Linked DNA regions of Daphnia pulex. The main gene of each other region encodes a partner of the protein of the gene in region 3 in a complex. Links are inferred from orthologs where the notes say so. Each region holds a gene or a part of one and is shown on either strand. Other genes may lie near its edges.

Evidence for each region. The genes of interacting proteins can lie anywhere in the genome.
Region 1: DNA replication complex GINS protein SLD5-like (region 3) and zygotic DNA replication licensing factor mcm3-like share a complex: the UniProt entries of both Homo sapiens proteins name them as parts of the CMG helicase complex. The link is inferred for Daphnia pulex from reciprocal best matches to the Homo sapiens genes GINS4 and MCM3.
Region 2: the proteins of DNA replication complex GINS protein SLD5-like (region 3) and protein downstream neighbor of son homolog are in contact, whole or in part, in a cryo-EM structure (PDB 8Q6O), measured with the Xenopus laevis proteins. The link is inferred for Daphnia pulex from reciprocal best matches to the Homo sapiens genes GINS4 and DONSON. Residues at the interface, in NP_001084702.1 of Xenopus laevis: Leu19, Thr20, Pro21, Cys51, Glu54, Gln55, His58, Asn62, Arg65, Ala66, Lys67, Lys72, His76, Asn179, Leu181, Pro184, Thr186, Asp187, Glu188, Tyr192; in XP_041437004.1 of Xenopus laevis: Tyr8, Ser9, Pro10, Ser11, Phe12, Lys13, Pro15, Ser16, Ile18, Leu19, Ser22, Thr167, Arg168, Arg245, Arg469, Val471, Glu488, Thr490, Tyr518, Thr519.

Annotation. Positions count from the first base shown.
Region 1 is NC_060022.1:5,177,994-5,188,603, forward strand, and holds zygotic DNA replication licensing factor mcm3-like, read right to left. Parts: upstream 5,601-10,610; 5' UTR 5,461-5,600; coding exon 5,389-5,460; intron 5,323-5,388; coding exon 5,210-5,322; intron 5,154-5,209; coding exon 4,945-5,153; intron 4,876-4,944; coding exon 4,745-4,875; intron 4,516-4,744; coding exon 4,416-4,515; intron 4,343-4,415; coding exon 4,204-4,342; intron 4,136-4,203; coding exon 3,798-4,135; intron 3,722-3,797; coding exon 3,540-3,721; intron 3,076-3,539; coding exon 2,950-3,075; intron 2,880-2,949; coding exon 2,178-2,879; intron 2,117-2,177; coding exon 1,649-2,116; 3' UTR 1,552-1,648; downstream 1-1,551. Other genes in the region: ARMADILLO BTB ARABIDOPSIS PROTEIN 1-like, read right to left, coding at 1-76, 161-538; protein argonaute-2-like, read right to left, coding at 8,840-8,948, 9,017-9,058, 9,128-9,327, 9,397-9,633, 9,716-9,809, 9,892-10,076, 10,135-10,301, 10,376-10,504 and 1 more. UniProt on the Homo sapiens protein: Acts as a component of the MCM2-7 complex (MCM complex) which is the replicative helicase essential for 'once per cell cycle' DNA replication initiation and elongation in eukaryotic cells.
Region 2 is NC_060027.1:2,496,622-2,507,515, reverse strand, and holds protein downstream neighbor of son homolog, read left to right. Parts: upstream 1-5,294; coding exon 5,295-5,485; intron 5,486-5,548; coding exon 5,549-5,825; intron 5,826-5,857; exon of another isoform or gene 5,858-5,887; coding exon 5,888-6,311; intron 6,312-6,680; coding exon 6,681-6,864; exon of another isoform or gene 6,865-6,865; intron 6,866-6,928; coding exon 6,929-7,142; intron 7,143-7,203; coding exon 7,204-7,521; 3' UTR 7,522-7,720; downstream 7,721-10,894. Other genes in the region: endochitinase A-like, read left to right, coding at 1-495; zinc finger protein 431-like, read left to right, coding at 1,718-2,242, 2,315-2,644, 2,745-2,981; uncharacterized protein LOC124208003, read right to left, coding at 4,033-4,356, 4,422-4,551, 4,610-4,644; vitellogenin-2-like, read left to right, coding at 8,855-8,918, 9,006-9,151, 9,226-9,351, 9,415-9,552, 9,622-9,929, 10,005-10,197, 10,264-10,430, 10,493-10,696 and 1 more. UniProt on the Homo sapiens protein: Replisome component that maintains genome stability by protecting stalled or damaged replication forks.
Region 3 is NC_060022.1:2,230,664-2,240,668, forward strand, and holds DNA replication complex GINS protein SLD5-like, read left to right. Parts: upstream 1-4,502; 5' UTR 4,503-5,037; coding exon 5,038-5,160; intron 5,161-5,232; coding exon 5,233-5,379; intron 5,380-5,446; coding exon 5,447-5,598; intron 5,599-5,662; coding exon 5,663-5,836; intron 5,837-5,908; coding exon 5,909-6,008; 3' UTR 6,009-6,080; downstream 6,081-10,005. Other genes in the region: tau-tubulin kinase homolog Asator-like, read right to left, coding at 1,324-1,795, 3,344-3,459; ras-related protein Rab-4B-like, read left to right, coding at 6,343-6,358, 6,464-6,544, 6,785-6,879, 6,943-6,962, 7,028-7,245, 7,314-7,409, 7,478-7,602; synaptic vesicular amine transporter-like, read right to left, coding at 7,771-7,994, 8,068-8,174, 8,245-8,345, 8,413-8,556, 8,625-9,056, 9,122-9,183, 9,245-9,640, 9,717-9,822. UniProt on the Homo sapiens protein: Required for correct functioning of the GINS complex, a complex that plays an essential role in the initiation of DNA replication, and progression of DNA replication forks.

The sequences.
Region 1 (10,610 bases), about 2.9 Mb from region 3:
TTGTCATCTCGTTAAACTTGATCCAAATACGACAAGTAATCTCCTGGTCGTAAATCGCCGTGGAACTGTACATCAACTTAAAAACCGATACACGTCATCAGCCATATAAAGTCTAAAACACGACACAAACAAAGACAGACAAAAAACAAGAAATATTTACCGATTGCCATGTGCACCACTTTTCGTTCATCTTGTTTGTCGCCATTTGAATGCTTCCTTCGTCAATGCTGACCCCTACAGCTTCAGGTAAAGCACTGCAAGGTTGACTCGTTTCTTCGTCGATTTCATTGCCTCCAGGAGTAATCAGTTTCAAAATGAAATGAAAACGTAAAGCTTTCTGTGCATTGTTACTAGAATCGTCTTCTTCAAACTGTTCTAAACGAAGCTGAACTGCATTCGCAGCATCACAGTGAACACGTTCAAGTTTGAACCAAGAGGAACGGACTCCCCGGTCATTTGTGGCCTCTGAATCCGAGACCACAGTCTTCCACACAATTTGCGTTTCACCGTCGTTCAGTTTCTTTACATTTATCGACATTCTTTTCTCTGATATTTGCACAAAAATGACTTTTACTTTTGACTACTTTTACTTTTGTCAATTTGATTATCTTGATCGTACTTAATGTTCAAACTCATTAACCATTAACGACACTTCCACCCTTGAGCTGAGTTTAAAGTGGACTGAAATTTGGAGCAGACGACATTGCCAATTTTGACCTTGAAAATGGCCGATTTTTTCGAAATGTCTGAAATGCGTTATTCGTTATCAGTAATATCCCGTAATAATTGAAAACTCAAACAAAATTGTTGATCAAACGAAAAAATACTACAGCAGTTTATTGAGAAATTGTTTTTTATCTTTTAGTCATCCATTAAAGTAAACTGCCATACATAAATACGTCCAACCCACGTTATGATAATCATTTACACTGAAAAACATTCCAAATGCACGCTAGATCAAATAAACGACATGCTGTTGATGATGACGAGATGACTTTTGGAGCTAGTCGTATCCTTGGCTGTGTACTAAAGAGAGATAATAAGCATGAAAACGTACAAAAAGTGGATTACCTTGGGGAACAAAGGTATTAACCTGGAAAGATCGTAGTAACATTCGGCATTGTTATGGGGTTCATCCGTTTTATCGTTTGGTGTTTGATGGGAAACTTTGCGAGATCGGAGAACAAGGGAACATGAAAAAGCCTCTGGAGACGTTTGCCCGTTCTATTACTTGGGGGATGAGGAACCAAATATAAAGTGGATGGCGTCGGCGCCGTTGTGGAATGGAAATGTCTAGAAAATTGAATTCGTGGCTTGGTGCACTGTTGCTCTGCTTAAAAAGTATTGAACCAAAAAGTTTAACGTATTTTACTAACACTTAGCCCTCCCAAAAGTTCCGACACCAAATATCCATTACTGTATGGAATATCCTCTCTGTTTTGAATATATTGAAACTTCATTTCAAGTTTGCCAAGTTACCACATCAATGATCAAACTTTTCACGGTCGTTTACGTAATGCCGTTTCATGCCCTAGATAACAGTCTCTGAAATCTTTTTGTTCGTTTATTGATTAATTAGTGATGAATTATTAGTATCGAAATAGTAAACAGAAGGAAAGGTGACACCAAATCATTCGGATAAGGGAAATTAGATGAGAAAGATAATATCGTCTGCTACCATGATTTGATTGGCCTCCGTCATCCTTTCGAATGCTGCCCGAGTTTCATGAGACTGGAAAGGCTCGGCCGAATGTTTCTCGACCAGGTAAGCGCGGAAACGGCTGGAAGGCAGCGACTGGGCACGCGATTCGCGGAATAATTGGGTCAACGACTTTTTGAACAAATTGTAACGCTCATCGCTAATAGAAGCGGGAGTCTCATCTTCATGGACGGTCGTATCCATCGGGACAGAGTCCGTTTCCAAAGAGGAACCTTGAGATGCCGTCGTGTCTTGTGTTGACTTTTTGGCGCGTTTGGTGGTGGTGCCACTGGACGTCGGTTGGCTGCTGGTAGCGTCGAATTCGTACGGATCTTCCTGAGTGGTTCGAGTGCGCTTCCTTTTTTTCTGCGACTCGGCAGTAGACACGGTCGTTTCGTCGACATCTTCTTCCGGTTCCTATGTTCGCCAAATCGTGTTACATTCAGACTCGAGACTAAATGGATTACTGTTAAATTACCTCCTCCTCTTCGGTATCGACTTCATCATCCTCTTCGCCGTCGTCTTCAACCTTCTTCTTCTTACGCTGCTTCTCAAGAACTCGCTTGAAGTAAGCGAATTGGACGAGCTCAATGGCCGAATGCGCGTCATCAGCATCGATGACTTTTGATAGACGTGCACGGGCGTGAGCCGTGGAGAGACGGATCAGCGTCTCGAGCGCACGAGCCGTTACCGGTTGGGTGCGCGCCACATCTGGATTTTCAACTTCGTGAGACCGGAGACGCGAATATTCTTCAGCGATGGCGTCAGCTGCTTCTTGCGACAATGTTGGCTGAGATTTGTCAAGTTTAAATATCATGAGAACTTTGCCAAATGTCACAAAGAATAACGAACCAACCTTAAGGGCGCGGGCGACGTGAATGTACTTCTTCATGAACTGCATGCTAACGACTTTGTCCGTTTTCAAACGGCTTGAACCGTGGAGAAGAGCGTCGTACTTTTCATAAAGCGGCGTCTCCTGGACGGTAGACTCATTCTCGTCCGGATTCCTGGTCGATAGCATGTCCAAATTCATGGCCAATGGGAGCGGTTCCCCATCCTGTTCCGTTGACGCACGGTAGCGATGCATTCGGACAACATGGTCGGCGATTCGACGGTCCTGCTCAACATCCACCAGATCCAGCACGATGAACAACAAGTCGAAACGAGACAGTAGTGAATCCTGCAGAAAAGCAGTCAACCGTTATCGATCATCTGCTCCAAAACAATTATAGAAAACCTATTAAAAGAACCTGCAAGCCAATGTTTTCCATGGGTGTTTTGTATTGGTCATAGCGACCGTACACTGGATTGGCGGCTGCCAGGACAGAGCAACGAGCGTTCAGTCGAGCATGGATGCCTGCCTTTGCAATGGTTACCTGAAGGAAAGAAACAAAACAAAAACAATTGACTGAGTTTTCATCTAATATTAAAAGGATGGGCGAGACGAAAAAAATCGATCGACAAAAGTAAACTTTTTTGCTTGAGTGGAGGTAAGCTGGATTGGATCGATTTCAATAAATACTAGGAATGGAGGGAAACGAAATTCGTGGTACGGACTATTAAATATTTGATTGAAAGCAGAATAGCATGGGAACTCAATTAACTAGTGGGCGCACGCGGCCGGTGGACATCAAATTACCATTTTCAAAGCGATCATGGCAAAACGAAGTTAGTTTTCTATTTCTAGAAAAAATGTACACGTCTAATAAAGCAAGTGGGAAATTTGATGCATTGCGGAATTTTTGAACTAAATTATTTCTAATATTTCAAGTAAGTTTTGGTTCAAAAGTAATAAAAGAATTATGTCAGGCGAAACGTAACGCAGCAGTGAAATATTTACCGATCCTTGTTCCATGACTTCGTGGATGGCAGTTCGATCGATGTCGGACATTTTGTCAAATTCGTCGATACAAACAACTCCGCGATCAGCCAAAACCATGGCGCCAGCTTCCAATCGTCGCTCACCAGATTCAGGATCGTTGGTCACTGCAGCAGTTAAACCGACGCCGGATGAACCACGGCCTTTCAAAGAAAATCAGATTTATGAAACGGTAAAGATCGATAGGGCGGGAGAAAGGCAACCAGTGTAAGATGATACCTGTTGTAGCAACGGCTCTCGGCGCCGTGAAGAGGACGTAACGAAGAAGTTGAGATTTGGCAACACTAGGATCGCCAATTAGTAGAATGTTGATGTCACCACGAAGGCGAGTACCGTTGGGCAAAACCTTTTCTAGACCGCCGAGCAACATGCAAAGAAGGGCACGTTTGATGTATTCGTGCCCGTGGATGGAAGGCGCCAGAGATTTGGCCAAGAGCTGGAAGACGTCAATTGATTTCATCCGAGAGAATTTTTTACATTTTCGGACATCATCACTAGTGATGAAGATGGAAGCCTCTTTGCTGAGGGGGACAATGTTGCAAGCTAAGAGGATCGTCCTGTAAGATCAAAGACGAAATGTTATATCAAAGTTTTGGGAAATAATAATTCTGAGAAGACGCGTTACTTGAAGGCACCTGATGTGAATCCTCCTTGTTTTCCTGGTAACGAGCGGAAAGTGCCAATAACTTGGATACGATCGCCAGGTTTGCATCGATCCACCAAGTCGTTATCACAAATAATGTCCACCGCACGAGGCAGTTGTCCTTTAATGAGCAAGGTCAAAAGAACGTGTTAGAAAAGGGGTTATAATTTACGCTCCAAAAAATTTGTATCTACCGGCAGGAGCTTTTTCTGGCATTTCTTGGATCGTTAACGTTTGATGGTCTCTATAAGTAGACAGTCCATACTCTGTCTCTAGCAAATTGCCATCTTCGTCCTAAATTATTCAAAGACAGACATGAGTTCGTAATTATTGTAGACTTTTAAATTTCATTTTCATAAGTCATCCCGTAATTTATTCTATTTTTTTTTAAAGTTAACTAAAAATAACGACCTGTGTACTTTCATACGCCATCTGAGGATGCTAGATACAACTAGACTGAACTTCGAAATCTTTCCTTTCTTTCCTTCAAAAGTTCTATTTTTACTACCACAAGATAAATTACCTTGGTTGGATAGACGGAACTTGAAGGGAATGCATCAAAACTAGTCAAATCGGTGTAACGCCGTTCGATAGTTTTCTTTGTTGCAGGACAATAATGCACGCTGCGAACGATCTTCGGTCGAACCAGAGAACCTAACATTTTAATTAAATTAATTAAATCAATTAATTTATCTTAAGACTTTAAAGAAATTGGATTCTTACACTTTGTGACAATCCCTTCAACACAGACTAAATTTCCAATGAATCGTGAAGTGAGACTTCTTGGAGTGACATGCTTTGCTCCAAAACTTCCCTCGAAACCAAGAAAAAACTCGTCATGCTCCTTTGCATAGCTTGAATCAATACCTCCAACAAACTCTGCTAAAGCTTTCTGGAACGCCAATTGCTCTTCAAAAGCATTTGTAAGCAGGCTGCATGAAAAGAAAGGTGAGTGTTTCTACAAAACTTTGTTAAGTGTTTATTTTACCCATTGGCTCTAGCAGCATTGACACGGCGAAGATCATTGATGTTGACAACCAACCTAGTTTGTTTGTTACTCACCATATCCTTCACAAGTTGAGTATAAATTCCATCTCGATTCTGCAAAGCAAAAAAGTTAATAATAACCACCTATTGAATTGTTAGTTCAAATCAACAGGTCCCTACGTAGTCGTCGAGAAATTCAGCGTATTCACGTTGAATGTCTCGGATGCGTTGATCGACATCTCCTGCAGACATTTTCGAATAACCAGTGGAAAGCAAAGTAAAATTAATCTAAAATAGCAAATTCAGTGAAAACACTGAAAAAATCTCGATCGCAGACTTGAAAAGTTGAAAACAAGTGTGACCGACTACAAGCACAGCAGACAACGAATCTACACAATGAAACTAAAGCGCCAACTCCCGCCAAAATACGCCATCTAGTGACATGACAGTATAGGCTGGCGGGCGATTTGAAATGAAATTCAAATTCGGAAAAATATTTTGTGAAAAATATTAAATAAACGAAATAATAGTATTGGGAGTAAAACAGGCTAATACGCCCAAGTGTATTATAGACGATACAGTTTTCCCCCTTGCGATGATACAATCGGGTAAATTATGCAAGGGCGAGACGTGGACGCATGATTTTTACGACAGAAATAGGTGGATAGGGAAGAAAAAAAAAGTAGAGCTATGTTTATGAGGACTACACATGATAACATTATTCTCACTGATGATTGCCCCACATAAGACAGCACAAATTATTCCATTCTCTGGGGTTATCTCTACAAAAGCGGAAAAGTCGTATGTAATCTTTTCTTTGTTTTTTTCTTTTAGATTCAATTCCAGGCGCAACAAATATTCTGTGTTTTCAACTGAGATTGATCCGAGGAGTTGAAGAAAGGAGAACAAGAGAGGGAGACGCATCTTTCTTCCTCGAATTTAGATATGCCCAAAAAGAGATGTGTTCGTTAAAGTTTTTCTCATTTGAAATCAAAATGTCCCGACTTTTTTCCTATAAGTTTCTCAACTGTAATAAGCTGAGGGGTGGGGGGTAGTAAAGATTATGTTTTTATATGATGGAAGTAAAGCTGACTGGAACTTTCAGAACGGGACGTGAATGGGACCTCTATGTTGTTGATTTTTGGATTCCTATCTGACTTGGAATGTCGGTGAAAGAAAACAGAAACATCAGGAAATAAGCCCAGATCCAACCCAAGAGCTCGAATTATCTAGAAAGTTTTTTGAACGGATTCAGTTGAGAAAGTTTTTGGGCAGAAGTTTGTCTTTTGTCACCAGGGTTTTGAACAATAATTTCTTTCCCCCTTTAAATCCCATATCTTTGTTTTTCTTTTTAAAACAAAAGCAAAAAAAAAAAAAATCCCGTAGTGAAATGAAAGCGTAAGACCTACCAAAACTAAATAATAAAGAGGCACAATTTAGAAGAAAAAAAAATTGGACGAAAAAAAATTGCAAAGGAAAGAAAAGTCACCACGCGCAACATAAAAGTTAAATCGTTACACACTCACACACATTGGAGGTAAATGGCGCGGAGGGAATATGATGCAGTAGAGGTAAAAGTAAACCCAAAATCATATTTTTGTTTTTCAAAAGAAGCCGTCGGAGGGATCGGGAACGTGAGCGGAGAAAAAGGATTGTTTTTTTTGAAGCGGCGAGGACGGGTAGTACAGAGTGGGAGAAATGGTTAAAAAATAAAGGGGAGACTTGATCAGATATGTCAACGGTATTCTGACTCGCCTAAAAATTGTTGAATGCTTTTCCTGATTTTTCACTTATTTAGCAATTAGTAGCCGAGAGACAGATTCGGCGCATTTTTCTTTTGTTTATAAAGCAGCTACAGGTACACGGGGAACATAACTCGGGAGACAAAAGAGCGGCAGGCGACAAAGAGGGAAACCAAAGCCAATCTAAAGAGTGTGAGATGAGGACGTGAAGAGAGACACACAAATTAGGGAAGAAGAAGAAGAAGAAAGAATTGATATTTCTCACGCTTGCCGAGAAACGATATGGCTATTATTGTCCGCTCGAAGGAATTCCCGACCTCCCGTCCAAAAAGAAAGAAATTTAAGAAGAGCAACACACGCACACACAACTAATTAACTACACGATACTTATTTCACTATCCAATCAAAAGGAAAACCAAGACAAGTTAAGAAGGATATTCTTTTTTGTTGTTTAAGGAGAGAGGGCCAAACTTGATTGTAGGGTTGTAGTATATAGTATTACATCGCCAGCAAACTCTTTCAGGCTGACGTCGAGGTGCGGTGGGTGGGATATTATTATTTTCTTATCCTCGTCAACTCCTGCCCGGACGTTTTTTTAAGAGCTGCCCGAATGTTGCGTTGGGACCGCCCCTTCGCCACAACAAAATACACATGTACACTCACGCACACACACATAATTATTATTTTTTTTTAGCTTTTTTTTCTTGAGGAAGATGGTCGATGTCGGTGTGAGAAAGAATTATTTACGGGGGCAAGGATAATTTTGTCATGGCGAAATGGCCTTCCCAGCAGATTCTAAATGCACACACTACTCTCTCTCTCTTTTGCTTTTTTTCGATTGAAAACGTTTTTTTTTTTGAACGAACGCTGAAAGACGTTTGTAGCGCGGGAGGAGGGGCGATGATGTTTTGTTTTTTTTTGGTATTTTTTTTTTAGATTTTTTTCGAAATTGATTACAACTGTATCGAAGAACAAAGATAATAAAGGTGGTTCTCTATCCTAGGTAAATTTTTTTGTCCGGAAAAAAAAAGAAAAGAAACAAGTTTGACTTTTTGTTATTAACGCGCGCCGTTAGTTCGATTTCAGATGTCCTCTCAACCTCTTAGGGGGGAAACGAATGAAATGCTTTTAAACGCGAGAAAGAAAAGAAAAAACTGGGAGCGGTGTTGAGAGAGAGAGGGGGGGGGGACAGTGGATTGTTAAACAAACAGATCGGTAACGAAAAGAATTGTCAATTTGATTTTGTCGTTTTTCTTTGAAGTAGATACGGTCGAGGTCGGGATAAGGGGAAATGCTGATTGGGCAATTTCACGATTTGCTTGGTCCGTACTACATCCACATGCTGAAGGGAGGGGGAAATGCAATTGTAGTTGAGAGCTACTAAATTATCTCTAACCCTTTCTCACACCGCTCTTCCCGTTACTTCGTGTTCAGAGATGATTTCAAGGGATAGGGGGGAACAAATTCAAGTGTTTTTTAAATTGCCACAAGGGAATTAAACATTTTAAGTGCAAAGTCTCGTTTAAAACCCCACCGCAGTATGTGTTTCGACTCCCGCCATAAGCGTGAAAAATATAATGAAAGACTTGACGGCCGTGGACAAATTATTCTTTTGCGCCGGGGATGGCTCTGTTAAAAGGGACGTGTGAAATGCTCCTCCTTGCACGACAGATCAGAGATGTGGTGGTGATGATGGTTGGTGACATGAAATATGTGTTGGATATTGTGCTCGCAAGCTGACCTTCCAAACTAGCTAGAGAAAAACAGCGTCAAGTCTCGTGGAAATACAACAACCCCACACTCCTACTCCATCCTGATCCGCATCCGATATACACGTGATGACCAAGAGACAACTTACTGGGGAGGGAGGAAAAACTTCACGATGACTTTTAAGCAAAGTACATGACTTTCTTGGTATCCGCGTGAACAGTGATAGCACGAGCCATGGCGCCTGGCGTGCGATCTTCGCTGCTGCCACTTTGATGCGAACCTTCTCCACTGTTTCAATAGAAATAGAAAATTTTAGTCATTTTCTAGGCGTTGATTTAACGTTCAAAGAAATGTACCTGGTGTAACTCTTAATGCAATCCTGTAGCGATCCTTCCCCACTGCAAATATTGGAAATCAATAAAGGATTAATAAAGTCTTGTTGCCAACCACCGTCATTTAAATATTACCTGTCGTGCTCCTTCTCCACTAAGTGGTATCTGGCACGGAAAGCCACCAGATGGGCGTAGTAAGCCGGCGCCGGAATGGAGACGGAACGAGTACAGCGCACATAAGTATGACAAAGCTGGTAAGTTAAGCACTGCAATTCGTCAGCGTCAAAGTGGTTGTCATCCCACAAAACGTGATAGTGGCTAGGACGGCTAGTACCCTGTACATAAAGAAAAATACATTAAATATCAAACCACTGAATAAATATTAAGGAAATAAATTGTCTCACCTGAATGCCTTGATGCGAGCACAAGTAAAAGTCGAACTCGGTTGGGTGTGTAATGCCCGCGTCGACAGTGGTACCGGCGGGAATGTTTCCAGATTTGCCAGATTGCTCTTTCTTGTCAGCACAGAAGAGCCTGGTGTGATGGCGCTTCTGAACCACGATGAACGTGATACCTGGTTTGTAGTCAGGTTCCAATTTTATGCATGCCTCGCGGATAGCGGTCAACTCATGTTGCAAAACCTACAGAAAACGTGTCGTTTATTCGAACGTATTTCTTTTTTAGAAAGCCAAAGTTAGTTTAGTCTAGTAGAATGTTGCTTACGGTGCTAAACTGGCCTTCACTGGCGCCATCGCGATACATGATAATTCGGTTGGGTTTGAACCTTGTAGTTTTGTAGAACAAGATCAATAATTCCCTGGGAAAAAAAAGGAAAGTTCATCAGCCTCAAAAACACATGAAACTCAATATGCGGATTATCAAAATGTCAAATTTCTTACCGGACCATAGCACTGAGCTCTTGAATAACTTCTTGGCGGTGTTGTTGGACGCGAACAGTTGCAGCGTATCTCGAAGGATGAGCATCCATCGAGCCCACAACGGCTGCGATCGACGGCTTTTTGTTGTCACCAGCTGGAGGATGAGTTATATCGGCCCCAAGGAAAATGACAGGCTCATTGAACACCTAAGAAAACAACACACATGAGCATTTTCGTGTGAAAAGTAGTTGATTTACGTTTTACCTTAGGACGAATGGTAGGAACAAGGATACTGTTAACACCACCAAGTTTAACGTTGATCTTCAGACACAAATTGGACAGAGTTTGAGGCGATGTTTTGTTGACATTCTTTGCTTGTACGCACTGTGTGGCCATGCCAAGTACAGTATCGCCAACACGTTTGACTTCGGCTATTGGAATAATCAAATTAAAAACCTTCATTATTGTCGATGTCGACACAAGTAGAATGTGTAAATGATAGTACCGTAAACAGGAGTTTTGCCCGGTAGAACGACACACACCAACTGGAGACCTTGGAAGGTTGACTTGAGGTAGCGGAACATAGGCTCCACTTGATCGGGGCCAGTGGCATATTTGCAGAAACAAGGTTGGCCTAAACAATATTCAATTTAATGACAACCCATTCTCATAATCCACAATTATTTCGTTATTACCAATGATGGGCATCCCGGCGTCATTACTTATCTTCTGCAATTGCT
Region 2 (10,894 bases), on a different chromosome or scaffold from region 3:
TTCAGTGCAGCGGACAAGGGCCTCATGACCTTTGCCCTGCCGCTAACACCAACAACCACAACAACTAATCTGATGACCACTACTACGCAATACTACTACCACTCGTTTAGCTTTGTCGATAGACGTCCAGCACCTAAAATCCCTCCGTCCACTCGTCCGTCTCCTCTTCTTTCTTCGTCTTCTTCTTCATCGACTTGCACTTGGTCGTCCTATTCGTCGTCCGCTTCTTCTCGCCTTAATGCAGGTACTGCGGCAGCCACAACCCATCCGTCCCGCCTAGTTCCCGTCAAACCGGACACGTCCAGCCCCCCCAACCACCACCGAAGGCCATTGAATGTTCCTCCGCCGCCTTCCCCGTCCTCTTCTTCTTCTTCTTCTTCTTCTTCACTGCGCAGCAGCTCAACCGACGCTAAGTCTTACCTGAAACCTACCAAGGCTTCCTCGCTTAAAGCCCCTGGCACCACCACTACGAGAGCCAACAACATTTCATTCTGAATTTTTTTCCTCTTTTTAAATCTTCCTTTGATGCGCCGTGTGGGATGAGGCTTTGTTGTTATCATCTCTTCCTTTTCAATCATTTGACAAATTTTCAATTTTCTGAATTTCTTATTTTTTCTTTTCATTTACCCCCCCCCCCCTTCCCAATGTCAAATCTGGACATCCTAAAAAAGTATTTTTTTGATTACCAACGAAGAAAAAGGAAAACACTGAAATCAAGATCGATACGTGGCTTATTATTATTTCATTATTTGATATCAACAGAGAAACAAAATGTATCAAAACTAACTTGTGTATTTGCGAAACTAATTTTTATACGATTTTTGGATTGTTTTATTTGGCTTCTCTTTTTTTAAAACAAATTCTATTTACTAGTGCGTGCTGCCGTTGCTTGTTTTTTTTTTATCCCCAATTTTTTTTTTTTTTAATTATTATTTTTATTACAAAATAAATAATTCAACATTCATCTGTGCCTGACCACATTAAGGAAATAAAATGAAGTTTATGACGGTGGTTTTAATAACTAAATCAAAATGTGTCTCGCCTCTTTTTCTTCATTTTTTTATCCAGATAAATCAGAGGGGCGTAGACAAAATTCAAACGAAAAAATTGTCATTTTGGCGTGCAGAGGGGGACATATCATCATGGCGGTCGACGGCTTGAAACTCCCGCCATTCGTACAATAGGTGTCCAAATTCACCGATTTGCCAAACGAAAAATGGCGATTGATTGTGAAAACGTTTCGGTTTGCGTGAGCCAAATTCGATAACAAGAGGAAGAACGCGTGTCAAACGATGGATTAACGTGTGAAAATGAAAAAGATTGTGAAATTTGTTGATGCCGGATGACGCCATTGTTGTACAACGGTGGCGCTAGTGTCTCGTCGAAAAGCATTTTTGCCGCCCGTTGTAGTTTAGGAGAGATCCCCCTCTCCCGCCTGACGGTGTTTGGAAAAAAGACTAAAGAGAGAGAGAGAGAGAAATAAAAGCAAATCTGTTCTTCAACAAGAAACTGGGATCAAGATCGACAAGTTGTTTGAGATCAAAAACCACGATTGCCACGCATAGTATGTCAAGCTGACCTGTAGACAGAGATTTTGAGTAGTGCTTTGCTAGAAATTGGTAGATTGTGTGTCTCTTGTTATGTCCATTTTAAAAACCGATGCGTAACATTGTTTGGCTCTTGTGAGTGCAGTATATAGAGAGCTCATTGTTTTACGATGAGCTTCACCCCGTTTGGCGGCTTCCCGACGACGTTGGCAACGATCCCACATTTCGCTGTTGGGAAATTCCAGCAGGCCCAGGACCAGGGGTTTGTTTCAATACCATCGTCCCAGGGCCTGCAGATAGCCGTCAGCACAGTGGACCCATCACAACTGAATCATCACAACCTCAACGGGCATGTCCATGTTCCAACGTCCAGCACCCTCCAGATCCAGAACCAGATGCTCAATACGTTATTGAGCAAAACTGGCCAGAATGATGTGTTTGTAAAAGTGGAAACAGAGGCGGAGGAAAACGAAAGGTTTCACCAGCAACACCACCAAGATAAAAGTGCCCAACAGGACATTAGTAGTTTAAATGAATACCTGTCCCGGTTCTCTGGACCACCCACATTCCCTTTCCAGCAGATGTACAAATACCCCACTGAGCTCATCCACGTCACTCAGACTGATGATCAGCAGCAGAACATGATGAATGACAACTCCCCATCGGTTCAAACACCTGAGCAGCAACAGTCTCAGGTAATGACAATGTCACACTTTCACAACTAACTGTCTTCACACACCTCACCATCTCTCGTTCAACTTTTGCAGGTCCCCAAGAAAGCCAAAAAGAAGAAAAAGAGACGTGATCCTATCCCTGGAGTGCCTATGCCTAGGAGGAGGAGCACGAGTTTGCAGCCAGCGCTGACGACAGCTCTGGATGGAACGACGCTCTATGGATGTCCTCAGTGCCACACGGTCTTCAACAATCGGGAAGCCATCGAGACTCACCTCACGATACACCGATCGGAGAGACCGTTCATCTGCAACGACTGCGGTGCAGCTCTGAAACGTAAAGAACATTTAGATAGACATAGGTCTTCGCACATGACTGAACGCCCACACCCGTGCCCTGTATGTAGCAAGACATTCAAACGAATCGTGAGTTTTTCCTCCCTTTTTTTGTTTTTAAAACTTTTCTTTTATTAATAACCTCAGGATTTGTTTTTAAACATTACGAATGTTGTTTCCTATTACTCAGGAACACTTACAAAGGCATTCGATTATTCATCGAACTGATAAAGTGCACCGTTGTCCTGAATGTGGTAAAGGTTTCAATCGCAAGGATCACCTGACCAAGCACATTCACTCCCATATGGCCAAGAGGATTAAGCAGGAGCTTGGCCAGCAGCCAGGGAAAGCAGGGCAACAGAACAATGACAACAATTCCACCATCAACATTCAGCAGCATCAGAGCGTTTTGGCGCATCTGCATTGAGAGTTTTTCTTACGCCTGTAAAAGCAAACAAACCTTCCGCAGGATCGGTGGTCGGTGGCCTCACAGTATTCAAAAGTGACTAAATATGTTTTTCTTTTTTTTTTCTATTCTGTCCAATAATCTCTTTGAACAGTTGATTCATTTTTGTGTTATTTACCTGTGTTTTTTAATGTCATGTTCATAACACTAGTGCCGATAAGGAGAGAAAGGGACAAACCACAAACGTTTGAGGCGGCTAAACTTCGGGTCGGGTTGGGGGACATTTGTCGATTAGAAACTTGGCCGACAAGTGAAATTGAAATAATCCTTATACAGAAAAAGAAGTACTGCTAGTCTAGCACACACACACACACCTATTATATACATGGAAAGCTTCCATTGATGTATTGCAAAAAAATATAGAAGCAAGAAATGAAGAAGAAGCTGGACTTAAAAGAAAACATTCAGGGACCAAAATTGGAAATCACACACACACATGCGTTACTTACGATGTTTTTTCTTTTTTTCGAGAGCGTTGGCATAATAATACTCTTTTTTTTTTTGCTTTTTGTCCATTTCTGTTGCAAAAAAACACAGCGAAGAAAAGTTTGCAAGAATTTTTCGTTTGGTTTTTGTTTTGTCTTTGTTGAATTGAAAGCGCCTGTGGACGCAAACTTCGCCATTGTACTTTCCTAGTGTGCCACACCTGTCCTCACTTATACCCCTCTTATGTTATACTTTTCCCCGTATCTGCAAGATGATCTTTTTTGGTAAAAAAGTCAATGTCGAAAAGGTATCCTCCTTACACTCATTTCTCACAGTGAACGTGAATGCACGTACCCGTGTCATTTGTTTTCCATCCAATTATTCATGTGTGTATTGCCGATTAGCAAGGAGACAGCTGAAATATACGTGTCACAATTTGTAAGATATATCGCTTCTCAGTCTGAAATATAATTTCGTGTATTAATCGACTAGCGAAGATGAAGTGATTTCATAAAATTGAGATTTAAAAAAAAACGAAACAGAAAAGAGCGAAACATTATTGTTACATTATTAGTACTGACATCTTCTAGCCGTCGTACTTGTTGGGCTTGAATAGTATACCGTGCCTCTTGACACGCTCAATGTGCAAATCAAACAGCAGCTTGTTGGGCGTGTAGTAGTGAGGGTTGGAGTGAACATCCATGTCTGGTGAATAGGTGTCATCGTGAATAAACTGTTGATGCTGGGGAGTTCTTTCACGTGACATTTCATTGGGAATGTTCAGCAGGTCTGGAAGAGGAAGTGCTTGCCGAGTGATCCCATAGAGATTGGGGTTGCACAAGGAACATTGTATCACACTGCTGGAAGTGCTTGGTTGCAGACGGCATTCACAGATGGAAGATCCAGTAGGCTAAAGCAAACAACACAGAATATGAATTTAGCCAATGATTGTACTCCATGACCTAGAAAACTTACAGTGTATGATGGTGTGGTTTCCGAGTTCAAATTACTACCATTTAAATGCAGGTTGTTGATTCTTTTAGACAGTGGCATGAAGTCACATGCATCCGGATCACCATCACTGAGTTGACGTTTTCTCCTGTGACTGATGGTAAGGAATCACTGACATTGTTTGTATAGAAAGCATGGGAAAGCAGATTTACCATCCAGTCTCATTGTTATAATCAGATTCGTCCATAGTATTAAACGATATTGAAAAGCCTTCGATTAATTCGACGTTGTCCTTTTCTTACGAAAAAAAAACTTGTAATACGTTTACAAGACTTCAAAGATCCATATGACCTCCTAGGAAACACAAAGAAATGCATTCAATTCAATTTTAAACAGGATATCAAAAGTGTATAGGCATACAGACACAGAATATGGTTTTCAGATACTTTTGGATCTGAGCTGAGCAGAGACAAAGGAATACCACGAGTTTAACTTAAACTTTTTTTAACGTTAAGGCCTCGTACTTTCGTGTTTGTCATGAAACGTGAAATCATTTCCAACGGGAAGTTGTCTGCTATTAGGGGATAAGATTCCGATATGAAATACGCATCGCCCAAACCATTGAAATACTAAAAAGTAAAAACGCATAAAAAAATTTATTTTAATTTATTTCAGTCTCCTATCATATCTTAAAGCTTCCGCTGCTTTTAATTAAATTTTTATTTGGTGATTTTGAAAATGCTTGAAGCCGCCTTTCGTCAGATGACTGAACTTAGCAGAAGAAATGGCGCTCGTGTTCAATTCTTGTCCACAACTCGTAGAACGAAACGTCCGACAAGATATCAATCAAGTGTTGAATAATAGTCTTATAAATCTGTGGTAATAAACTAAATAAAGATGTCAGGGTCTGTTTGGAAAAAGCCTGACGAAGTTATGAGGCAGATGAGGGATAAGAAAAAAGCCCTCCAAGCACGATTCAGTCATGCATCCACCACGACAGCAACAAATAATTTAGATAATGACGAAGCCTTGGCCCCCACATCGTCCTCGTCAGCAACTGCCTCTGTAAAGAGAAAGAATCCTTTCAGGTATAGTGTAAAATGATGGTATTTTCTCGTCAAAAAATGTCTAACTGTTGCACATCTTGACAGACGCTCCCCAGCCAAGAGGCCAAAACTTCTTACAGTCACTCAAGATGACCAGAGAAATGCAAGTGCCAATGTAGATTTCATGAGCATGTTAAATGCCCCCAATGTAAAAGCTGATACCAATAAAGAGTTGGCTGTGGAACTACCGCAAGCTCTGTCAATATTCACTGCAGTAACACCTGTTTGCCAGAAAGTTGATCAGTGTCCTGTTGATTGGTCCTTAAAGACCAGGGTACGCTTCACCTCCAAATCACCTTTTGCCTTCAGCTCTACTCTCAAAGTATGTTTATCTATATCAAGCAACAAAAATACCAGATTTTATGATTCAGCTTTTCGTCGCAGACGTCCGAGGAGGCTTCTGGAATCACAGGTTTCGTGAGATGCGTCAGCTCTCTCAAATCCGACGAGTGGAGCACGTTGGACACGTCAACAAATGCGCAATTTCATCAATGCTGCTTGTTGTGGCAATATCCTTGGCTGCCTTGGTTATCTTTATTCCCTCGGGACACACGAGCCCCTATCACTTCCACCAGCTCTGTCCAAATCGGCATGGACTCGAGCGTGTCAAATTGCCTGATCAACGACTGGTGTGAAAGCTTTCGCTCTCTTTTCGGACTATTGCGCGCGAGGCAATGCCCATTCTTCTATGTCTGTACTCATCAATTCACCGTTCTCTTTCGAGCTGCTGGAATAGGAGGAGTTGCAGAAATCCATGCTCTATTAACCCCTACCACGCGTGGGATGCGAGAAGTTTTGCGACGAGAAGGTATTAAGGACAGCGATATTTAGTTCATTGGATAAAATCAATCACATGTGTGCCAGGATTGAATGACACATCCATTTTTTCTTTTTTTTTCTTAGCGTTAGTTTGCTATTACGTTTGCTTTTTTATTCTTCTTTTTACTATGCAAAACTTTGAATCAAGAATATTCCATAATTGAATGAGATTTCTAGAGAGAAAATTCGTAGAAAGTACTAGAAGACTTTATAAAACTTGATTTCTTGGAACGTATCAGTTACCATCCGGAGATCGTATTACGATCGTGGTTTCCGATTCGAGTACAAGAAAACAAAAACAAGAAGAAACTTTTGAAAGTGTCTAGAATTTCATTTTCATCTTGATATTTTAATATAGATATCTCATACTCGATGCCGTTGAAGAAAAGTGGTCAAGATCAAACGAACCCTGTGAATAATGATGAAGATGATGAAACCAAAGAAGCTGACAAAGTTGGCGATCTTGATGACGAAGATTGTGACGAAGATGATGCTGACTGGATCAACGATATCGGCCTGCATTCAAATCTCAGATCAAAATTGTGAGACTAATTAATGATTTGCAGATTTTCAACATAAATTCAAATGTCGTTAACATTTTCGTAGGGAGGCTGAAAGGTTGCAGGATGGAGGGCAAGGAACAAGCCAAGGCACCTATGCGGACTCGCTCCTTTTGATCGAAGGTGTTGAGACGCAGGGACTGTTCAACTGGCTTCTAAACAGCAAACTGTGTCTGTCCAGCACTGGCCCATTGACTGGAATTCCTCCAACTCTATTCAGTCCCGTCGCTTTCCATCAGGCCACACTCCGACCCCTCAAGGTAACCGAGTGTCAAAGCATTTCGAAATCTACCATTTCACAATATTGTTTTTCTACCCAAGGCCCGACAAGGTTTTCTGAAGCAAGACGGAGAAAATCTCTACTCCATCGAAGTTCAGGGTCCGATCCTACCCCACTCGATGGTATCGCTAATGAAACTGCTGCAAAGCAGCGATTTCACGGCTGTCTGGACTACGCTATCCAGCACCAAGCCCTTCGCATCATTCCAAAGTTCGACCGCCGCCACTTCTGCATTCGGTAAGGAAAGTTTGAGTGATTGTGGTCTTGACCGGACGAGCCTCGATCTGTTTTGCTCATCACAACTCCCGCCATCCGCTAGCGAGATCCGCTTTCAAGATGGATGTTTTTACTTTAACTAAGAGATAGATCTCTTCTCATTTTTAAAACGTCGAATAAGTGTGTTTTTAAATCATGCTCACTCTACAGTCCAGTTGAATAACAAGTCTGTCAAGAAATCAAATCTTGCCAAATCATGTTATCTTACGACTGATCTCATAATGGTACCATATAAAATGTGAACTTATTGCCGAATGCAATGAATAGATAGTAAAACAATGATTTGGACGAATGTTATGTGACGTTGACTCTGGAAGGGGATATTAACGCAAGTTATGACCATAACTGAATTCTTGTTTGATCAGAGTTAATTGCAATTTTTATCGATTGCGCATTAGCTTGAATTCAACATTCAAAAAGTGGTCCGATAACGTAAAAATAAGAGCTAGAAATTTAAGGTTTTATATAATCACAACTTTTTTCAGTCTGTTCACGGTCCAAGGATTCAACAAGCCAGTCGTGGGAGTGCTTGTGGGGTCATTGCGTGCGATAATACGTAATTAAATCAGTTCAGTATGGCAAAGAAATGTCGTCTCTGAAATAGCCTGTGATTGCAAAATCGTGAAATTATATATTTGTTCGTTGACTTTAAAGCAGAGCAAAATCACTTCGTTCAATTTTCAACTAAATGGGCCATTCAAATTTTGTTTACTTGGTTCCCTCAAGTTTACCATCTCAGCAGTGAGATTATCACCTAACCTTGAAGAGTATTTTCTTCTTTGTGTCTTTTGGAGACCTTGTACCTTGTTTGAAAAGAGATTTCCGCCAATAGTGCTGATTCCTCGTTTTTTCCTTCCAATGTGAGCCGTCAGTCAATTGGCCACAAAGTCAAATGTCAACATTTGGCCAGTCACAACGAAAGCACTGGATTTAAGTACACCCACGAGCTTAGCTTGATAAGATTATTTTACTTAGGAGCCAGTGGGGGGGATAGGGGGAGGAGTGGGAGTAGGAATAGGTCAGGAGATCTGCACATGGCCGAAATGCAAGTAAATACAAAATGTGTTCTTTATTTCGGTAGTGTCACTATCATCTCCCGTTTTGCCTCCCATGAACTAGGTTTTGGGATCGGTTGTTCCATCTGTCCGACTGCGGGAGAAGAGGGAGTGGTGGGGGGGGGGGGATTGAGGGAGTTTAGGTGGATGTCATTGCTTGAGTTATTGGTCTTCGAAGAATCGCACCACCATGCGAGACTGTGAAAACCAATCAGCTCGGAGCCTACGCTGTTTCCATGCAAAGATTTCCAACCCAAAAAAGAAGACGGGATCCCACAGCAAGTCACTAGTATATAAGGACGAATGTTGAACCAGTTCAAGTCGCTGTCGCCAGTGATCCTCCAGGACGCTTACATACACGATGGCACGTCTGAGCCTGTTGGCCCTCGCTCTTCTTCTCGTCGCCGGCAGCTGCCGTGCGGAAGGTAAAGACTCAACTTGGTTTTATTTCACACAAAATTTAGTTTTATTCATTTAGTTGAAACTAACGGTTTGCGTCAACTTCTATTCAGGTTTGTTTGAGGATGGTCAAGAATACCAGTACAGTTACCTTACTTTCACTACAACCGGCGTTCGTGATCCCACTCCATCTGGCTCCTCTTTCGGCATCCGCGGCAACTTGCTCATCCAGAAACAAGCCGGAGAAGCCATCGTCAAGGTAGATATTATTTTTAAACATTTTCTCTGTCTCAAAATAGATTGTCTTATTTAACAATTTGTGTTGTTCAATAGCTTTCAGATGTGACCTTAGGTATGCACAATGGCCCCGACACTCTTCTGTCGACTGTCAAGTTCTTGAAGAAGCCCGAGTTGGTTTTGTTGGAGAAACCCTTCAAAATTTCTTTCCTCAATGGAAAGGTAAATCGTCAACTGACAATTTTTTTATGAATTGTCAAAAATGTAACATCATGTTATTTTCAGATTACCGGATTCGATGCTGACGCTTCAGATGCCGAATGGTCCATCAACATCAAGAAGGGTTTGGCTACCAAGTTGCAAATGGACGTCGTTGCCGGAGAAATCGGCAAGGGCGACACTGCTTTCTTGCGTACTGTCGAGGTAAAGAAAAAAAGTTGTCCATTTAAATAAAAAACATTAACAAATGAATTTGATTGTGCATAAAATCAGGACACTGTCGTCGGTACCTGTAACACTACCTACTCGTTCGGAGGTTCCGAAAAGGGTCGCTTGATGCTGATTAAGCAACGCACTCAGAGCGAATGCACCAACGTTCCTCGTTTGGGTCATAACAGCTTCGGAGCCACCAACTGTGCTGGTAAATCACAGGATGAGCTCGTCGCCACCACTCAGCTTTACTACCAGCTTAGCCGTGGATCAAGCAGCAACACTGCCAAGGCCCACATCATCTCATCTTTCGGTTACCAGGTTCTCCAATGGCACCCACCTGCAGGCTCTCCTTTCTACAACTTGGCCAAGTATCATCAAGTCGTTTTCTTGTGTTATCTTCTTAAATAATCTTAATGTTTGTGTTTATTTGTTCTGTTACATAGCACTACTTTGGTTCTCAAGTCATCCGGCCCCATTGCCAAGCCCATCTCCGCTTCTGGCCTGACCAAACACTATGGCAGCCTTCGTTACACCCTCAAGCGCCCTATCCCCACACCCGAGGATATCGACTTGGCTCGTGAAGAAGATTTCTTGCACCCCGAGGAACCCCAATCCCAACAAGCTCTCCGTGCTAAGGTAAGCGATTAATAATTTATCTATTAAAATGTTGCACTGTTTAATTGAAAAATTGTGATTCTTCAGGCTGTTCCCACTTTGACTAAGCTGAAGGAAGTCATTGGATCATCAGCCCTTGATGATGAAACTCTTTTGGATCCCACCGCTATGGCCGCCCTCCAACTTTTCCAGGCAATGAGCTTGGAAAGTTTGAAAGCTGTCTGGAAAAATGTTGAAAGCGACGAGGAGCTCAAGTAATTTTCATGAAATTAGATTTTCAAATTCATTTGATGCTGATGTTGATTTTTTTGTTTAGGAACTTGTTCACCGAGATGATCCCACTTACTGGCACCAACCCTGCTGCTTTGTTGATCAAGGAATTGGTTCTGGGTGGCAAACTCAGTGAAATGGAAGCTCGTCGTATGGTTGCTTTCCTCCCCTATTACTTGCGCATGCCATCTGAGAAATTGTTGACCTCCTGGGAGGATCTCTTGAAGGAGAGCCCCAGCATCAAGACCAAGTAGGATTGACGTTTAAATACCTTTGTTTAAATGATTTCTCTAAATGTTTGAATTGTAAAAAAAATTAGGGAATTGAGAGGAGCCATCGCTTTGGCTTTCGGTCATTTGGTTGGCGTCACCTGCGGTGGCAACAAACTGCGTCCCTGCAAGACCGATACCATCAACAAGTACACCCGCATGTCCTATGAAGCCTTCAA
Region 3 (10,005 bases):
ATGTTTGAGATGTCTACTATGCCGCCCCGCCCGTGAGTAATGTATATATTTGGGTTACTTGATGTTGACGTATGGCTCAAGGAGCGAGCCCGTTGCAGAAACCCAAACACAAAAAAAGGAAGGATGAAAAAATGTCTAATGCAAGTAATAAAAATAAGGTCAGTAGACATTTTGATTAGACGAAACGGTTACATTACAGAGAGAAAAGATCGAATTGAGCCCAGGACCCAAGGGGGAGCCGGTGCCAAGTTTTTGCGCATGGAAGCACAACTAGTGCGGAACACATACTACAATCAAAAGAAAACAAAAGAACCAGATGACTAACCTCTTTCTCAATTTTCCTGATACTAAAACTATACCTGCACACGATTTCGTGTAGGGGGGAGAGACAGAAAGGAAGGAAGTGAGAAATCCGATGCAACAATGTTACATGTTGCGCTCATCTTCCAATCAAGCGTCACGCTAATTGTCACGCTGGGTGACTAGATTTGCCGGTGCCCGTGTGACCTCATTAGCAGAGAGAGACCCACACACACACACGCACAAAGGAGCTGAAATTAGGAAAACGGCTCGCAAAAGAGTCTGCGAAGAGTCGCCAAAACTGATTTGCCAAAAACTGGGTCAAGTTCGACAGTCGAAACGTCTTTTCCTCGTTTCGCAATCGTTTTTCATTTTGAAAAACAACAATGCCAGCAAAAAGCTCGACCGGAGTGGGCGGGGGGGTTTGGCAAATGTTATTTCTTTTATATTTTTGCATGCGCTAAACAAACACGTTGACGTCTTTTTAGGGAACCTCGTAGATCGAGTTCATCACCGTGCGTCAATGTAGGCGCAGCACTACTACCCCCGGACAGCTGTCTGGATTGGACGAGGGTTAGACGGGAGTGTTCCCAATTTATTTTAACTGACTGTGTGACTAGCCACAGGACGTTGGTGGTGGCGACGAAAGCCACGTGCTGTTGGTAAAACTGTCCTCCTCTCACTGTCCCGTTCCCTTAATTATGCAGAATCGAGACCGGAAGGTCGGCCCAAAACGACAACCCAAAAAAAGTAACTGCGTCTTTCAACCCCCAAGTCGAAGCCCCTTTTCCCCTTCTGCAAGTCAAACTACATGCAAATTGAGTTGGATGATCAATTGGGTGGTTCTTGTTCTGGAAAGGCTTCAAAGATTGGGAGCTTAAACCGAGCACACAGCAGTGTAGAAATCGTTTTAAATGGCCGGCATGTATATATTTTGTTTCTTTTTCTTCCTGTTTTTGCTTACCCAACGTCGATAGGAAAATCGTAAAAAATAAAAGTAGGAGAGAAGAAAAAATAACGTACCACTTTCCAGCGCTCTTTGACAACATGTCCGGGTTGGAGTAGGTCTTCCGTGGCCATGGTGATGTGTCCGTTGGTTTGCTTAGCAGGGCGTGCTACACATGGAAGTTGCAGGAGATTTGGTCTCTTGGGTTTGCGCGTTTCCACCAAACTGGCGGCACTTTGACTCTTTTGGCTATTTCGCTCGTCGCTGCTGTGATCGGCGTCGTCGTCGTCGCTGCTACTCGACGAGCTGCTATTGCTGCTATGCAAACGTACGGCTGAGGTTGTTGAGGCTGCGACTGCTGGGCGTCGACCGGCACGAACGCAACCGCTGCTGCTCGACTGCGAAAAGCCGTTGACTAGGAGGGAGAATGCCGAGATTTTGATGCCGCCCAGTCCTGTGGCGGAAACTGCGACCGATCTGACGGATGATACTGTCGCCTCGTCAACAGCTAGCGCCGCTACGTCTAAGCAGGGACTGGGTTCCGCCGAACTAGCAACAACAAGAAAACATAAAAAATGTGAAGGGAAACCAATAAAAGCCGGGCATACCCCCCACCGAAAAACAGGGGGTTGCAGACGGGACTCGTACTACTGACGGTTCTGTGTGGGCGGCAAGCGTAATACATGAGACAATGGAGCATTGTCACGCCGTACCACCGTACTGCACCGGGAAACGGTCAAAACGTTATAGCCAACCAGCTGCGACTGATTTATAACCACTACACAACAAACGAAACAACTGCGTTACCAACAATCAGTTGTCGCCCGAATTTTTACTATGGAGAGAAAAAGGAAACGAATGCGAGAAAATGGCGCTTTTCTACTTCTAGCAAACGCCATTCAAAACTATCAAAGCATCTGAAAAGCACCGAAAAATAAGGGGGGTAGAGGTGGACTGGGGGCATAAAAAAGCCGAAGAATACGACGAGAGACAGGGGGCCGCCCCGAGAGATATTTTCAGATCGCGGTCATCAGCTTCAACAAACAATCACGACAAAAGAGAAAACGAGACGTTCATGTTTGCTGCTGCTCAACGGGCATATAGCCAACAACACGCACGCACTCACGCAAGCAAGCAAACACACACACACACACACAGTTTGAATTAGATAGAGTCCTGTTGGTATAAATACATCATTTGAAAGAGACGAGCGCCAATTCCAGCTTCGACCAGAGATTTTCAGTGGCTAACTTTGTCGACTCAACTTCCTATAATATTCAACCTTGAAATGTGTGTACAAGCGCGACCTTTTCAACGGGGGAAAAAAGAAGGAGAGACAGAGAAAAACGGCCCAGGCAAACTGGTTCTGTTTGGGATGTTTGGATCGATCAGAACAGTGGCGAAACGTAGGATTCAAGGTGTGTTTGCGAGCGATTCCTATACGTGCAATATAGTCTAGTTGGGGAAGTCCGAAGATGTATACACACATAAAAAGCCACACCACCGTTCCTATTTTTAGTCGACGAGATCGTACCGCCGAGACAGATACTGTCTCTGCCACTTTTTGCCCAATGCTCCACCTTCCTTACTGACTCAAATTCACTAGCTCTTTGAGACTGATTGAATCCTGCTATCACTCGACACCCCTTTGTTTTTCTTGCTGAACAAGGGCAACTGCGCTGGGAAGGGAGACATTGTCTACTGGAAAGTGAGAAAACGCAATACTCCATCACCCACTTGACTCTGCTCAATCCACAATTATGTTAACCTGGAAATGTAACAAAATTTAGGTTGGATCTGCTGGTTACGTTCACTTCACTAACTTCCAAACACTTTTCCTACCAACATGAATGAATAATGGGATAATCCCGGCCATACCCACTTGAGACCAGCCGTCATACCCCAGACAAAAAAATCAGTCAATGATAGAAAACCCCAGTAGTTCGCCCTCCAACAAAGCACGTATACACAGACCAGATCGTTGCCTAAATCGATTTTTCTCCAACAAGCTCAAATTGCTCAATCACACGGGACTTTCCTCGAGGAAAAGAAAACCTTATTAGTTAGCCAAAACAAATCTATTTCAGCTTTTCTTACCAGTAGTTTGGCAGAAATCTATAGAACAGTTGAACGCCATATTTGTCGACACATTCGGACTGCGGCTGAGCAGAGCAGACGAAACAAAATTTGTTGGAAGGGGTTGGGTAACGCATAAAATCGATGATGCTAAGCTATCGATATGTAGTCTAAATCGATTTATAATTTCATACGAAATCCGGTCAACGACTTTTTGAGCTGTTTCCGTGAATGGGAACTGACCAAAAGCAATTAAATAAAATATTGAAGATAAAAATTTTGTGATTTACCACTGCATTATCTCCCAGCGCATATCGGCTGCTTGCGGGCGACAAGGAGATTGAATGTAATTCGCCAGCGCGCGCACTCCGGAAATCGACTTTCTTTTTTGTTTTCACCTCTCGATAATAAATGTGTTGTGGTAGCTAGCTGTTGATATTCCCAATAAGAAATCGACGTCGATTCCCCCACACTGTGCGAACTGCGGAACTTTGCTTTTCGAAACGATATGCAGTTTTTATTGCTCGTGGACTAAAAGAAGGAGCTTTAAGTGATCGAGCCAGCTCCGCTAGCCAGATCCTTACAGACTGAACGCCCGCTATGCTTGAGCCGGTCTCTTGAATACGGCCTCGCTAGTTCTTTTTAGTTTTTTCTTGGCGCTCAACACGTCACGACAACCCGAAAAGCTTGTTTTGTTTTCTCCGTCTATACTACTACCCCTTAATTCTCTTACTGTAGCATTTTGTGCTACAGTTGGCGTAAATGAAAACTAGAGTTCCTTATGTGACGGTTTTATTTAGACCCGAGTGCAGCAATTTCAATGATCGTCTGGAAACGGTCCATGTGCAGTTCGTCACTCAACGTCCGCTCTGTTTAGTTAACCACCTGCCGCCAGATACGTAATTATACGTACATATACCTACGGTTTGTACAGCAGACCACGCAAAAGGGATGTCTTTTCTTGTAAATAATAAATACTCGTCGTGCGATCTCTGTACATTTCGTAATCTAATAATAGCACTAGATTGCTTATTTTTACAAGGATGTTGCGTATTCGCGAACACGGATGCCACGTAGGAACAAACCATCTTCTTTCGATTTCGAAATCTTGTCCTCATTTTTAACGTTCTCTCTTTTTTCGCCGTCCAATTCCACCGATAACTGTGATGGAACAGGAGTTGAAGGAAATGCGAAACGCCAACGCAAAAAAATTCAAGTTGAACAAAATGTCGAGTATACCGTGATGGTTTGCCTTACTATTGTTTACCTTGCTCTACCTTAAGGCACTACCGTCCGCCCGGTACAAACTTGGCCAAATCACAACATCTTTTCTTAGAATATAAGATGTAACTAAAAATATACATGGTTTCCGCTCGCTTGCATTTGCATAATGTATTCTTAAAGTCGATGAGCCAGCACTTAACCAAATGGCAGAAACGACTTGTTTTGTTTGTTGTCGATTGACACGCTTAGCTTAAACTGATATATTTTTTCAAAGAGGGCCAGGTTTGCTTTGCAAATGTTTGAAGAACAAACCCGTTTAGAACGGAACAATAATCCAAGGAAAAAATAGAACATTTGAGCTCTGGCTTCATTAGCCGAGTCATGCAACGATGTTTTTGTTTTTGGCGGGAAACGTTGTTTTGTGAGGCCTCTCCTGTCAAATAGCAGTCGGCTTGTGGTAAAATTTCGTTTACGATTGAATAAGAATAATAATGGCTTCCTATTCCGGAAATCTAACGCAACTAAGTGATCTTTTCGGAACAGCGGATACTATATCAGAGACCGAAGACGCCGAATTCTTATCTGCTTCTGAAGCCGTCAAGAAACTCGAAGAGGTTTGGAATGATTAGACGTGCCAAAAATGTCCTGTTTGATGTTGACATTCCTCTGTATTATTGTATGTCAAGAGCTGGCTCAATGAAATGCTCGCCCCAGAATTATTATCTCCACAGACTGAGCTAGTTGACTGTCTTTTAGAGCAGACAAAGAACATGGAAGAGAATCTGATGGCCATTTCTAAATCAGATTTTCGATTTGCTTTGCATCGAATGGAAGTATGAACTACTAAATCAAGATTATGCCCTTCCCCCTTTACTAATATATTTGTAAAACATATGTTAGGTTGAAAGAATACGCTATGTAGTTACATCATACCTAAGAATACGTCTGGAGAAAATAGAAAAATTCCTTGGCTACTTGTTGAACAATGAAAACAAAAGACAACGAAATGAACCAAGTTTGCTTACAGAAGATGAATTAAAATTTGCACAAGAGTATAGTATTACCAGTTATTTTTGTTAAGTTCCTCTAACAACCATATTGTTTGTTTTTTGACAGACTAAACTCCAACACAGAAACCCACCTAAAAACTCTTGGACTCAGACACATGCCTACAAACATGAGAGAAATCAACACCCAAAAATTCATTACAACTCCAAACCGAGATAGCTACGTTTTCGTATGCGTTAAGGATGATGCCCCCTCAGTTCTTGTGAGCGATGGCACTAGCGAGTAAGTGTTTATATTGAATTCAAATAATTTTTTCTTCACATTGTATTCAAAATTCTTATTTGATTTTATCAGGGGTGAAATAGAAGTGGAACTGCTGATGAATTCTCAACATTTACTTCCGTATAGATCAATTTCAAGCTTGTTGCAAAATAATACGGTCAATTTGTTGTAATTTAATTAAAGCTACACTTTTTGTAAAACTTTTATGTAAAATTTCTTCAGGAATACAGGTAAATTTACAAAAAATTAATTTATTTTCTATTGAATACAACATACAAAAGGTGGCGCTAATGACCAAGTTGTTTTTTGAGCCGAGAAAAAACGTCTGCTAACTAACTTGTTAGACTTCATGAACTCATATAGCCAATCACTTTCCTTGCAATCACAAAGCTACATCCTGTTAGTTGATTTCTGGTTTTGACAGTTTCTTACTGATACTTGAGACTGAGACCCTTTACATCGGTTTATTGATAATATAGCCTTTCTCCGTAATTGTATGCCCAAGGATGGCTGAAAATTTCGGTAGTATTTTCTTGTTTACTTGTTGTTCATTAGACAAACGTCAACCCATTTTTTTATTGTTCAAAAATTCACAATGCTAATCAATTCTACTTTTATCTTATTCAGAATTCCTTTTCAAATTTCTTGTCATTGGCAGTGCAGGCACAGGAAAATCCTGCTTATTACACCATTTCATTGAGAAAAAATGTAAGCCATGCTTTTATTTTTTTTTTGTATTGTAAAATTTCAAATGTGTAGATAGTTTGTAGATAGTTACACAACAAATGAAATTGTCTTGTATATGAAAGGTAGATTGTTCGTTTCGTACTGTAAATTTGCAGTTGCTTTTACAGCTTGTCTAACAGGACTTTTTTTTGCAACAACATAATTCATTATTAATGCATATTTATTAAGAATTCCCTGTTTACATTTTCTCTTGGTTCACAGTCAAGCAAGACAGCAGCCATACCATTGGCGTGGAATTTGGTTCAAAGATTGTCACAATAGGAGGAAAACAAGTGAAGTTGCAAATATGGGACACTGTAATATAGCATATTCAATTGTATTCGGTTTACCTAATAGCTAAATCATTGTTTGTGTTACAGGCTGGACAGGAACGATTCAAGTATCACAATTGTCTCTTGTTGAATACTATCAGTTGAATATGCTAATTTTTTTGTAATAATTGAGGTCCGTTACAAAAAGCTATTATCGAGGAGCGGCTGGAGCGCTTTTGGTCTACGATATCAGTTCGAGAGAAAGTTACAACGCCGTTTCGAATTGGCTTACTGACGCTCAAAATTTAGCAAATCCCAATTTGGTTGTTTTGTTGGTTGGGAACAAAAGAGATTTAGAAGAAGATCGACAAGTTTCATTTCTAGAGGCCTCTCAGTTTGCACAAGAAAATGGTAAATCGTTATTCGTTTAAGTAATAGTTTGTAAACATTTGTCGAATTCAAGATTTCTTTTTATTTAGATCTAATGTTCCTAGAAGCCAGTGCGTTAACCGGTGAAAATGTTGAAGAGGCATTCCTGCAATGTGCAAAGACCATTCTTTCTAAAGTTGAAACGGGTAATGTAAATCCTAAATTTTGTGTTATAATCAAAATTAATTTCTGTTATTGTTTTTAATATTTAAAGGTGAACTTGACCCCAATAAATTGGGCTCAGGTATTCAGCATGGAGAGACGGCTATTAGAAGATTCCAGCGTCAGTCGACATCTATTTCAGTAAATCCACCTTCATGTTCGGGTTGCAAGATCTAACACTATCAAAAAGAACTTTCAAGACGTAGAGACAGTTAACCATGTCTTAAATTCCAGTGTAATAATAATTCGAAACACGTCTATTTATATATATTTGACGAAACCGCTCGGTATTAATAACAATGTCCAAATTGATGAGAAAAACCGTTCATACAGATTTCAAATTTTCTAACGTTTTTCATCTACATTCTCGAGTTCCTCATTTTCGAATCGACTGTATCCCCTGTGATCAGACGAGAATAACGTCAGAGCAGTTAGCTCAGATACTTTTTCAGGTTCATCGGATTTAAGGATTAGGACCAGTGGAGCAAAGACTAAATTCAAAACACCCATGCAAAGCATCAGGCGAGGAAAGCCCAAAGATTCCACCAGCATTCCACCTAACATTGGACCTGTTCAGTAGGAGCAAATTATTCGTCTGTCGCATTTGTAAGTTTAAAAATGTAACTATTGAAATCAACTAACCTAAACAGTAGGCTAAACTAACGGCTGTTTGTCCAAGAGCAAAGGTTTTACCGTACGACGGGGACAAATCGACAATCTTTTCTAAACGTTGACGATTTTCTGCCAGCCTTGGTATTTTAACAGGATAACATTAATTGATCAAAATTGAATGGGTGTTATAACATGGGCCAAACTTACGTAGCCAAGAGAGGCACTAGCGACGCATCAACAGCACCTATCCCGGCACCTATGCAGAAATGCGGACCAGTTAAATGGATGATGGAACTAGCAAGAGGCACCTGGATGATGAAATGAAATTTTCGCATGGAATGAATTTGAATTAAGTATTAAAACAAAATTGTTTACCAAAGTGCAAGAGATACCCAATATTATCATAGAGAGCATTGCCACTTTCCAACGACCGACACGGTAAGCTAAACCACCGAGGAAGTGAGTGGTTAACAAGTAACCGCAACTGTCGGGAATAAAAACAGCTCCAAGTTGCCAACGCTGTAATAGAAAATAGTCGTCGGATTGAAAGAGCAATAATAACTTATTTAGATTAAATCAATTCTGACTTCCGGTTTCATAGTCTTCATGAGCCAAAATGGCAAGCACGGTTCCAGAAGAGACATGACCGATGTGGAAATAAATATTGCGCCAACTACAACACCAAGAACCAAATGGCGATGATGGACATACTGCTGAGGAGGTTCAACAGGTTTCCGGCTAGGACAATTTTCCGCTGAAAAACAAATGTCTTCTTCTATGGATTCGTCTTCATTCCTCTGTTGTTGATGATCAGAGACGCGCAGTGTCACCGAGAAAGCAACTACGAATCCATTTTTATTAAGGTTGGCTAAATTCCATGTCCTTAAATGACTTTTACCTAACAGAAGGGCAGCCAAGAAGGCGATTAATAGAAATGGTACAGATTTTCCAGTAAGCTGATATAAGAACCCGGCGATTGGATAACCTAGAAGGACTCCAACGGCTCCTCCACCTAAAGCCTAGGTTGTACCAATAAATGTCAAATAAGAATTTTAAAAAACACTTAAAATTAGTAGACAGATACTCGGCCAAGAGCTTCGCTTCGTTTAGTCTCTTCGCTGTAAGTTGACGCTACCACCCCAAGGCCTACAGAAATTTGGCATTCAGTTCCAGACATAGTACATAAAGGGAATTGAATTAAAACGACCAGCAATTGTAAAACAAGCGGACGTGATGCCTTGCAGAGCCCGAGCTGACGACAAGATCTCATAAGATCGACCAAAGGCAAAGAGCAAAGCGCATAAGATTAAATTGACGGTGCCAACGAGAAGAGGCAAAGCGAATCCTTGTCTCTGGCTGACGACGGCTATCAAAGGATTAGCCGCCAGCTGCACGATGGCTTTTAAAGAGAGCAGGAATCCCAGTCGACTATTATCGCCTATTTCAGGCTGGTAGCCTCGGCCAATGTGGAAGTGCTGGGCAGACGATTTCAATAAGTTGTACAGGCTAGACGATGTTTCGTTGCCAGTCTCGGGGCTGACAAGCGTCCCGTTTTCTTCCTGTCCATTTTCAGCACGGTGTACAAAATGCGGGAGAATCGGCACTGATTTCAAAATTGATTCAAATATGAGCGGGAAACTTAATATCAGATAATACATGTTAAATGATCTTTTACCAACCTACGGCCGTCAGTAGAAGATTGTCCAGCAAAAGAGCGAAATAGACGCTGAGTAAAACAAATTTTTCGGTAACTCCGCGTTCTTTGTTGTAGAACAGCTTCCTCATGTTGGATATTCTTCCGCCTGTCGAAGCTGCTGGGCTCAGAACTGGAGCTTTTAGGACTGTGTCCTGTCCTCATATTTATAGCAGTTGATGGCGTTGACTTACAGCCCAGTCAATGAGTATTAACTCGATGAAGCGCACGGAAGGATCGATCCTGAAAAAAAAAAAATCTGGTTATCGTAGCCG